2 linked regions of the Nothobranchius furzeri genome follow. The protein of the gene in region 2 purifies or fractionates together with the protein of the main gene of each other region. This does not show direct contact. Links are inferred from orthologs where the notes say so. Each region holds a gene or a part of one and is shown on either strand. Other genes may lie near its edges. The genes, in order: vapal and slc22a15.

The links.
Region 1: the proteins of slc22a15 (region 2) and vapal purify together in Homo sapiens (co-immunoprecipitation; 3 studies listed by BioGRID and IntAct, with this or other methods). This does not show direct contact. The link is inferred for Nothobranchius furzeri from reciprocal best matches to the Homo sapiens genes SLC22A15 and VAPA.

Annotation. Positions count from the first base shown.
Region 1 is NC_091751.1:42,874,959-42,878,779, reverse strand, and holds part of vapal (VAMP (vesicle-associated membrane protein)-associated protein A, like), read right to left. Parts: intron 2,293-3,821; coding exon 2,140-2,292; intron 1-2,139. UniProt on the Homo sapiens protein: Endoplasmic reticulum (ER)-anchored protein that mediates the formation of contact sites between the ER and endosomes via interaction with FFAT motif-containing proteins such as STARD3 or WDR44.
Region 2 is NC_091752.1:45,756,118-45,760,588, reverse strand, and holds the start of slc22a15 (solute carrier family 22 member 15), read right to left. Parts: upstream 3,010-4,471; 5' UTR 2,778-3,009; coding exon 2,655-2,777; intron 1-2,654. Other genes in the region: CD48 antigen, read right to left, coding at 3,978-4,471. UniProt on the Homo sapiens protein: Organic zwitterion/cation transporter with apparent specificity for amino acids and their derivatives. Has low affinity for its substrates and may regulate their flux across the plasma membrane at high substrate concentrations.

The sequences.
Region 1 (3,821 bases), on a different chromosome or scaffold from region 2:
TTGCATCCCCAGGAGTTTGTAAATAGAGGTGGAATCTGCCTGTTTTTCCTCTAGTTCGCCCTCTTCTCCGCCTTCACTAACATCTCAGCCAAATACCGAAGACCCAGAACAAAGTCCATCCGCTACTAGGTTCCTTTCCTGTTTTGCCCGCCTTCGTTTCCCGGCAACGGACAACAACTTCCGGGGTCAAATGCGCTGCTCCGTCTCTATAGCAGATGTAGAAAATCACCGGGAGCGTTTCTCCCTTCATAAAGGAGCTTCTTTCAGACATTAGGAGAGCTGTTTTGGTGGTAGCAGTCTCTCCTCCGAGCTGGTCTGTTTGCTGCTGGGTGTTTTTGGTTTATTTAAACTTGGCAACTTAACGTTGGTAAAGCTACTGTTAGCATTTTCGCTAACAGCTTCTTGCGTTTGGATAAGCTGTTACGTTTTGGTTTAGAGTTCATCTTTTTACAATCCAATCCAATCCAATTTTATTTATAAAGCGCATTCACAAGGCATTACAACCAAACAAGGCGCTGTACACTAGAAATGTTGGTTAATTAAACAAGCGATATTTAAACATGTTGAACACATATAAAAAATAATAATTTGTGGTACAAATTAATAAATGTCTAAATGTAATAAAATCTCCCTTTTGTTACATTTAGAGTGTTTTGGGTTTTCGGTTTAGTTTAAAATATCACCTTGAGGTTGGTTTAACCGCCCAGTTTAGAGTTTGGAACTTTGGAGATTCTTATTTTGGTCCAAAACCCTGTAATCTTTGCACAGTGGGACATCCCTAGTTATCTGTACTTTTGTTTTAATTCCCCACAGGCAGAATTAGTTTTATTACTCCCAACCTGTGGATGGAAAGATTTGGTTTTTTGTAGTTGTAAATAAACCCGATCATCATTTTAACTTTTAAATCCCATATTATTGTCCCTTCCTTTTTGCACACGAGCCAAACTCCCCAGGAAGAGTCGTAACACCACTCGCCTCACGCACATAAGTGACCAAGACGAAGCAGCATGGAGACACTCCGTCTCCAACCACCTCTCAGGCAGCAGCCTGTACTCCCAAGTTCTACACGTCACCAGAACATAACCAACCAACACAATAAAAGCAGTGTTATACAAAATGGGAGGCCTGTAGTGTTTATTCTCTTACAGTAACAATTAATCAATTTTTTGGAGGAATTTATTAGAGATTTTTTGGTTTTTATTAACTGTGCAATAGAAAAATAATCATTAGATTAATTGTATAAATAGTCATTAGAATAGTCGACTATTCGATAAAATAATCGTCAGAATAATCGTTTTAAAAATAATCGTTTACCCCCAGCCCTAATTTCTATATATTCTGCGGACACTGTGCGACTTTTTCGTTTGTAGCGCTCAGTTTCAGCTCACACCGTACGTCTGCTAGCAACACGCCGGACTTAAAATGTGCTAAAAATAGCAGTTTTTACACAACACGTCGGACTTTTTACTGTGTTGTTATTGATATTTGTTGTCCCTCGGGGTTGCTGCAGGGACACGGGTATTTATGAGTGGCGGAGGAAAACAAGAAAGTAAATAAATGTTTTGTGATCTGTGTAATTGGACATAACCACGGCAAACATGCTTTCTCGACAATCCTTGTTATTGTGTGAGAAAAAAAGTGTAGAAATTAAAACGGACGTGTGTTAATAGGGAAACAGCTGGCGAGCTGTTTGCGCAAGCGCCGTGAGCGGTTCTGGTTCTGTTTGGGCCACAGCCGCTCGCAGCGCTACTTCAACAGTTATTCTCCTAGTTTTTGTCTGGCTTGCAGGCTAGCAGATTCTCGCATGAGGGGGAAATCGGCTCAGGTTGTTTACTTATGTTTTGCACAGACATTTGTTTACTGTGAAGTAAAGTTGAAGTGCTGAAGTTTTGCAAACTAATTTTGAATAAAACTTGAAGAATAACTGGCAATTGCGTGCTCATTTTAAGAGGTCTTTCATAATTATAACATGTTATTTGATATAATGGTTTACAAACACAAAAGGGTAATTTATTAGAGTACTCGATTAATCGAAAAAAAGATTTGATAGAGTACTCGATTACAAAAATATTCGATAGCTGCAGCCCTAGTTTTATGCGATCAAGATAACAAAAGCTAAAACAGCTGTAAAAAGCTTACCAGAGATGTTGACGGTTGCACCAGCATCGATGACTCCACTATTTGGCCGTACGCAGTACCTTCGTGGAGCTGTTGTCTTGACTTTGAAACACACTCTTCTCTCAGAGGGATTCTTCAATTTGAGGTTACTGGTAACTACATCTGTAAAAGGACCTGGTGCACAGAAAACAGCGAACACAAGGGCATCACTGTTTAAGCACACTGTGGAAGACCGAGTAAAAAACATCCCTGAAAACTAAAACAATCTGTTACATAAATCACTAAAGAATAAACAATTTTCTTTGATTTGTGTCACATGTAAAAGGCGAACCAAATGAATGACCGGTGTATTGTATATTACTAAAGTCAAAACCGTAGAAACTCAACATCTGTGGATGCACCACCCTCCTAGGAAAAACAGCAGGTCTGTGATGTTTGTAGCTGAGATTTAATGAAGACTTTAGGCTTTGAAAAGATCAGTAGAGAAACAGTAAAGGGCAATTCAATTTGAACTGTGATTGAAAACCTAATTGAATGGTGGGTTGGAAAGCAACTTCTCAGGACAACTCTAACCTCTATAGCTAACAAAAAAAGCTAAGCTCTGCCTAGATTAAACAATTACATTAAAAGCTATGACATAAAGTTAAAGAATATTACTATGTAAAATTTGAGATGCACAAAAACCTTTAAGACTTATCCCTGCATCAGTTTCCAGAAGCAAACCAACAAACCACCTGAATTGATTATGCTTACTTCCAGACAGATAATTTCATATAGAGGTCCCATGATGATATCAAGGCCTTTCCAAGTCAGGTCATACATCAGGAGAGCGGTGGTTGCATAACAGGTATCCACCTTGTGACGGGCCTGGCTTCAAATTAAGTCCTTAGCTGTGGTCAGCACTAGCAGCTTTGATCGTCTATGCCATGTCAAAAACAAAACCTGCTGCCAAGTCAGACGCACCTTCAACTTCAAGTAAACAATTAGCCTGGGAGTCAGAACATGTCTCATGACGCTGGAATTCTTTAAAATGGTTCAAAAGTTTATTTTTTATAGCAAAATAATGACAGAATTTCTGTAAACTGACCAGCCTCTAGAATAAGAATATTAAAACATTAAGATCAGGCACATTTATTAATAACTAATCCCAGTTTTTGCAATCCTCATAAACTTCTACTTGTTTACTAAAAAAAAATCAGGCAGGGTGATAAATTATTTCTAATCCAATTTTATATCAAATGAAAACAGTAATATTAGATTAAATGAAACCATTATTCACTTTGTAGTAAACCCAGAGCATCGTCCTCCTGTGCAACGGTGCATAGAAAGATAAATAGGCCAGGTTTATTTATGCAAACCTTGCAGATCTTTTAATCCAGTGTGAACATAAAGAGAAAATATGATTTGTCTAGAGCTGTGGACATCAACTGGTGGCCCGCGGGCCACACCTGGCCCATCAGACCTTTCCGCCCAGCTTCCCCATCATTACTGAATCAGGAAGAGAAAATGGATGTTCTACTTTTTTCTGTAATAAATTAAACAAACTGAAAAACAGCCTTTAATCAGAAATCACTATAAACTCAGGTCTTATTCAACATTTTTTATTTATTCTGCAGCAGTTTTTAGAATCTCTGTTTTTGCGCTTTCCTCTAAAATAGTGTATAATTGCGATTTCTTGACAAAAAAACACTCAACGGAAGAAA
Region 2 (4,471 bases):
TTACGATTATTGGGTCAACGATTCAATTCGATTCGATATCCCGATGCATCACGATTATTTCATGTTGATTTGTTTTCATCGATAAATAGAAGATGTCAGATAATTGCTTTTTTTTTATCTAAAACGTAACTGACACAACCTGCCATCCCTCAAAATCGCTCCATTCACAACAGGTTAGGACAAAACATTTAAACATTTAAGAAGATTTAACAAAGTAAAACACCTGTTTCCTCGTTCAACACCACGCCTCAGGCTGAGAAAAACACGCTTTGCAAAAACTCACAAAATCTAAAAAAGTACTGAAAACTTACAGGACACATAATGTAATAATAAAATACATAATGGGTTCATATATGAGTGTTTAATGTCTCTGAGAAGCTCTAGAGTCAGATATTTATGCCACAGTCGAAGGGTGTCAGAAATAACACCAAATGAAATGTTTGACTTAGTTTGTTATTTTATTTGAACCCAGTAGTTCGTTTCTGAAATGCTGGAGAATGAATCAAGTTCTGTTTGATGCAGAAGATAATAAAACATAAAACAAATTATACACTCCAATAATATTTAAGATGTGTGTTTTATTCTTTCTGATAATAACACCAGCAGAAGGCTGTGGGCTGGATTAGGATTAAATTACCCAGCTGATGGATCTCCTTCACTAACCAGCTAACTACAAACCTTTCCACTAACCTGTCCTGTGGGACCCTCACCATGTAACCCTCATGTCCATGCTGTTTCTGGAGGAGCAGATAGGAGACAAGTCTCCTGTAACCTAAAATGAACCAAAGCTTCCTCCCAGTTTCTCTTTAAGCTGAATTTAACATCAGTTTATCATCATGAAACAAAAGAATAAAGTGGAACAAGAACTTCTATTTCTCTCTCCAACTTCTCCATGTCCCTAAATAAAAGATGATTACGCTGCAGCCGCCGTCACTGACCCCGCCCCCTCCCCAAGACCGGATCTCCCTACATTACAACAAGCAGTCTGACTGAGCGCTTCCAGGAGAAATAATAATTAAATTATGAAAATAATAACGCGTGTTTGGAGCATCGGTTTGGAGGAGCGTCCTCCGATCCTCTCTCTCTCTCTCTCTCTCTGTCGCTGATCAAGCGAGCGGAGCGCGCCGCATGACAACCCGCTCAATTAACATAATTCACAGCCCAAATCCAACAGAACCGGTCGGGCTGATTCGGTTCCGGTTCGGTCTCGGGTGACAACTCTAGCGCTCAGCCCTGCAATACCACATTAAGGCGGAGGTAAATGTGGAGGAGGCTCACTCTGACAGATTTGGATGCGGTGCCATTAAAAAAACAAAACTACATTCCACTATAATCGATTATGGCGTACTCTTCTACGATGCAGAATCGTTTATGTCCACATCCCGATGCATCGATTATTTGATTATTTTCCTCAGCTCTAGACATGTCTAGTTAGTAAAATGATGTATGTCGCCTGTTTTATAAAGGGGTTTTACTTTAGCTATTTTCATGTTTTTTTGGAAATGAGCCTGCATAAAAAGATAAATTACAGATATGTGTCAGTGGTTCTTCAATTACTTTTTTTACAATCATCATGTCAATGTCATTCCAATCATTTTATTTTTACATTTTAGCAAAAAATTCCCAATTCGATTCCCAATTTTAAGTTCACAATTCTGATTTTTTACAACAAAATGAATTTCGGTTATTTTAAGGCAACGTAAATTCTTTTTAACAATTGCTCTTTCCAATTATAACTTCTATTGTCTTACTAACAAAATGTAAGACTTAACAAAATAATAGCATTAATTAAAGATAAGGAAATGAGCAAACCACATAACCCAGACTGGAAATGTGACTTCAGCAGCTTTCATATCGGAGTTGCGCATCAGATCGTGCTTTATAAACATGGACCAGTCCTGCACCAGTCTGTTAAAACGACCACATTTAATACAAGAGCGTTTATCCTGCTACACCAGTAGAAGTGTCTCTACTTCACGGCTCTTTTAGGGTTTACCAAGACAATCCCGAACCAGGGGCATGTCCAGGGAGTGGCCTGGGGTAGCACATGCCACCCTTGGAATCTAATTGGCCACCCCAGGTGCCACCACACTAATTTACCGTTAAATAGGCTTTTCATTGTCCACGAAAGGCTTGGGGGTAAAACAAAAAAAGCATAACCATTGGTGCCACCCATGCACAAAGTTGTGCCTCACCTGGGCCACCCCATTTTAATATCTGGACACGCCACTGTCCCGAACTGAACAAAGCATCAGAAAATGTACAAGGTCCACTCAAAGCTGGGCAGTATTGTCGTGTGTGAAAATAATTCTGACTAATGAGTTGAGTCACAAGGTGCGAGGCTTTGTCGGCTTTATTGGCTCTTTTGTATACGTTTAAATCTGCCTGCATTTCACAACTTTACCTGGGCTTTTACCTGACGTCATCATCATTCTGGCACATCACGACAGCTAGTGTCAGCTTTATCACATTTAGGGAAGTCATAGAAAATAGTTCGGTATGTTTAGATGTTTTAGGTAAAAAACAGAACTGTAGATTTTTTTACACTTCCGTCAGTCATTCGAAAGCCACTCAACACTGCAGCAGCTAACTGATGCTTCCCGCTGCTTCCATCATTTACTTATGATAAATGGTTTATTTGTGGAGCCACCAACCTGCGCCAGGACGAGCACGGTCACCGCTCGTTTTTGATAAGGCCCAAACTCTCCGACGACCTGGAAAGCTGCTTCAATGTCCATCCAAGCAGAGTGCGAGCGGATGCTAATGTGAGTTAGCATCGCCCCCAGCTAGCACCAAGAGAGGAGTGACCATCTTTTACTTCCGCTTTCGTCGCTTTGTTTTCCCCCGGCGGATTCAGTCAGTGACAGGCCAGAGTTCGTGAAGCAATGGTTGATTTATTCTGAATGCACTTTCCACAAGAGTAACAGTTAAAACATCACTAATAAATAGAATCGGGGTTTGTGATTGAGTGCTTTAAGACGTTCTCTGAAACATCGCATTAAACAGAAACTATTTAGCCAATGGCACACCTTTCTATGTGAGGTGAACACAAGATCCTCAGTAAAATCAGGATCTGAATTAATAACATTGTTTTTGGACAAGTAGCTCAGAGCTATGCAGAAACCATAAGCCGTATTTTACTGGTGATTTCCCTAAAAGACTATCTTTGAGTACGTGGATATGAATATTATTTCAGGAGGCTACAAAGTCATTAAGGTTCTATGTCCCAGTGTCGCCTGAAGTTTGTCTTCAAAAATGGGATCATTTTAAAGTATAACTGAACCGAAACACTATGGTGGGAAAAACAAAAACAATACAGCAAAGACCTGATTTCTTTAGTCCATCGGTCAAGTTTTCAGGTAAAAAAAAAATCACAAAGAAGCAAAACTATTGATGCAAGAGTTAGGGATCGAGATCTGGGAGCAAAGGAAAACAAACCAGTGCAAAATATTAATGTGCATTTACACATCACAGCAGATTAGAAAATTTACAAAAAAAAAAAATGGCACACAGTTGGATGTTATACATTTGAAAGGTTTTCATGTTGCAGCAAAGCAGCCATGCTTCATCCCCATGCAAGTCCTCCAGAGATGACTTCTAGAAGCTCCAGCAAACACACAGTCATGGTCCAGCATCTCCTCACCAGCACTGTCTCCATGCTGCAGTGCTTCATGGTTATGTTCACTCAGACAGCAACAGCACAGATGGTTCAGGTTTCACGTCCATTTAACTAGATTCATAACTTAAGAAGGTAGATCAGTAATTAAACAAACACCCATTTCATCACGAATCATGTCGCTAAGAGACCTGAAAGGTTCTGAGAAGACACTACCTGGACATTTAAAGTGGTCATATTCAGTTATTAGTTGCTGCATATGTTTTAAAGCTCTTCCCCCAGTCACAAGTCATTCAAGCAGGACCTGGAGGAATAGAGATCCTCTGGGTCCCTGTCCTGGTGTTACTGATCTTGATCATTGCTATTTGTTTCCACCCTCTTCACCGGGGACGGAATGATGGTCGTCTTTAAAACACTGTAAATATGGTTTGATTTTTTTCCTAAATGCGACTCCAAGAGTCGCACAGACAAAAACAAACACACCTACGATGATCCCAGCCACCACACCTCCATTAAGGCCGGGTGGCTTTTTGTTGAAGGGGTTTTCCAGCGGCTCACTCTGCTCCTGGCTGATCTTATTCTTGATGATGCAGGAAAACGTCTTGATTGCTTTGGTTTTCTCGTCGTTGGTGATGCTGAAGTTCTTTCCCGGCTGTTGTTTCCCTCCCAGGATCCAGAAGTACTCAACAGGCTCGACGTTGACAAGAGGTCCCGTCGGCTCGCAGCTCAGTTTACATTCAATAGAAGAGTCGCTGCACGTTAGAGGTCTCACGATGGCCTCGGGTTTAGGTACAGGCAGGACCTCTACAACGTTAAAGCCAACACTCTGGTCCTTACCGTTGATCTCCACCGTGA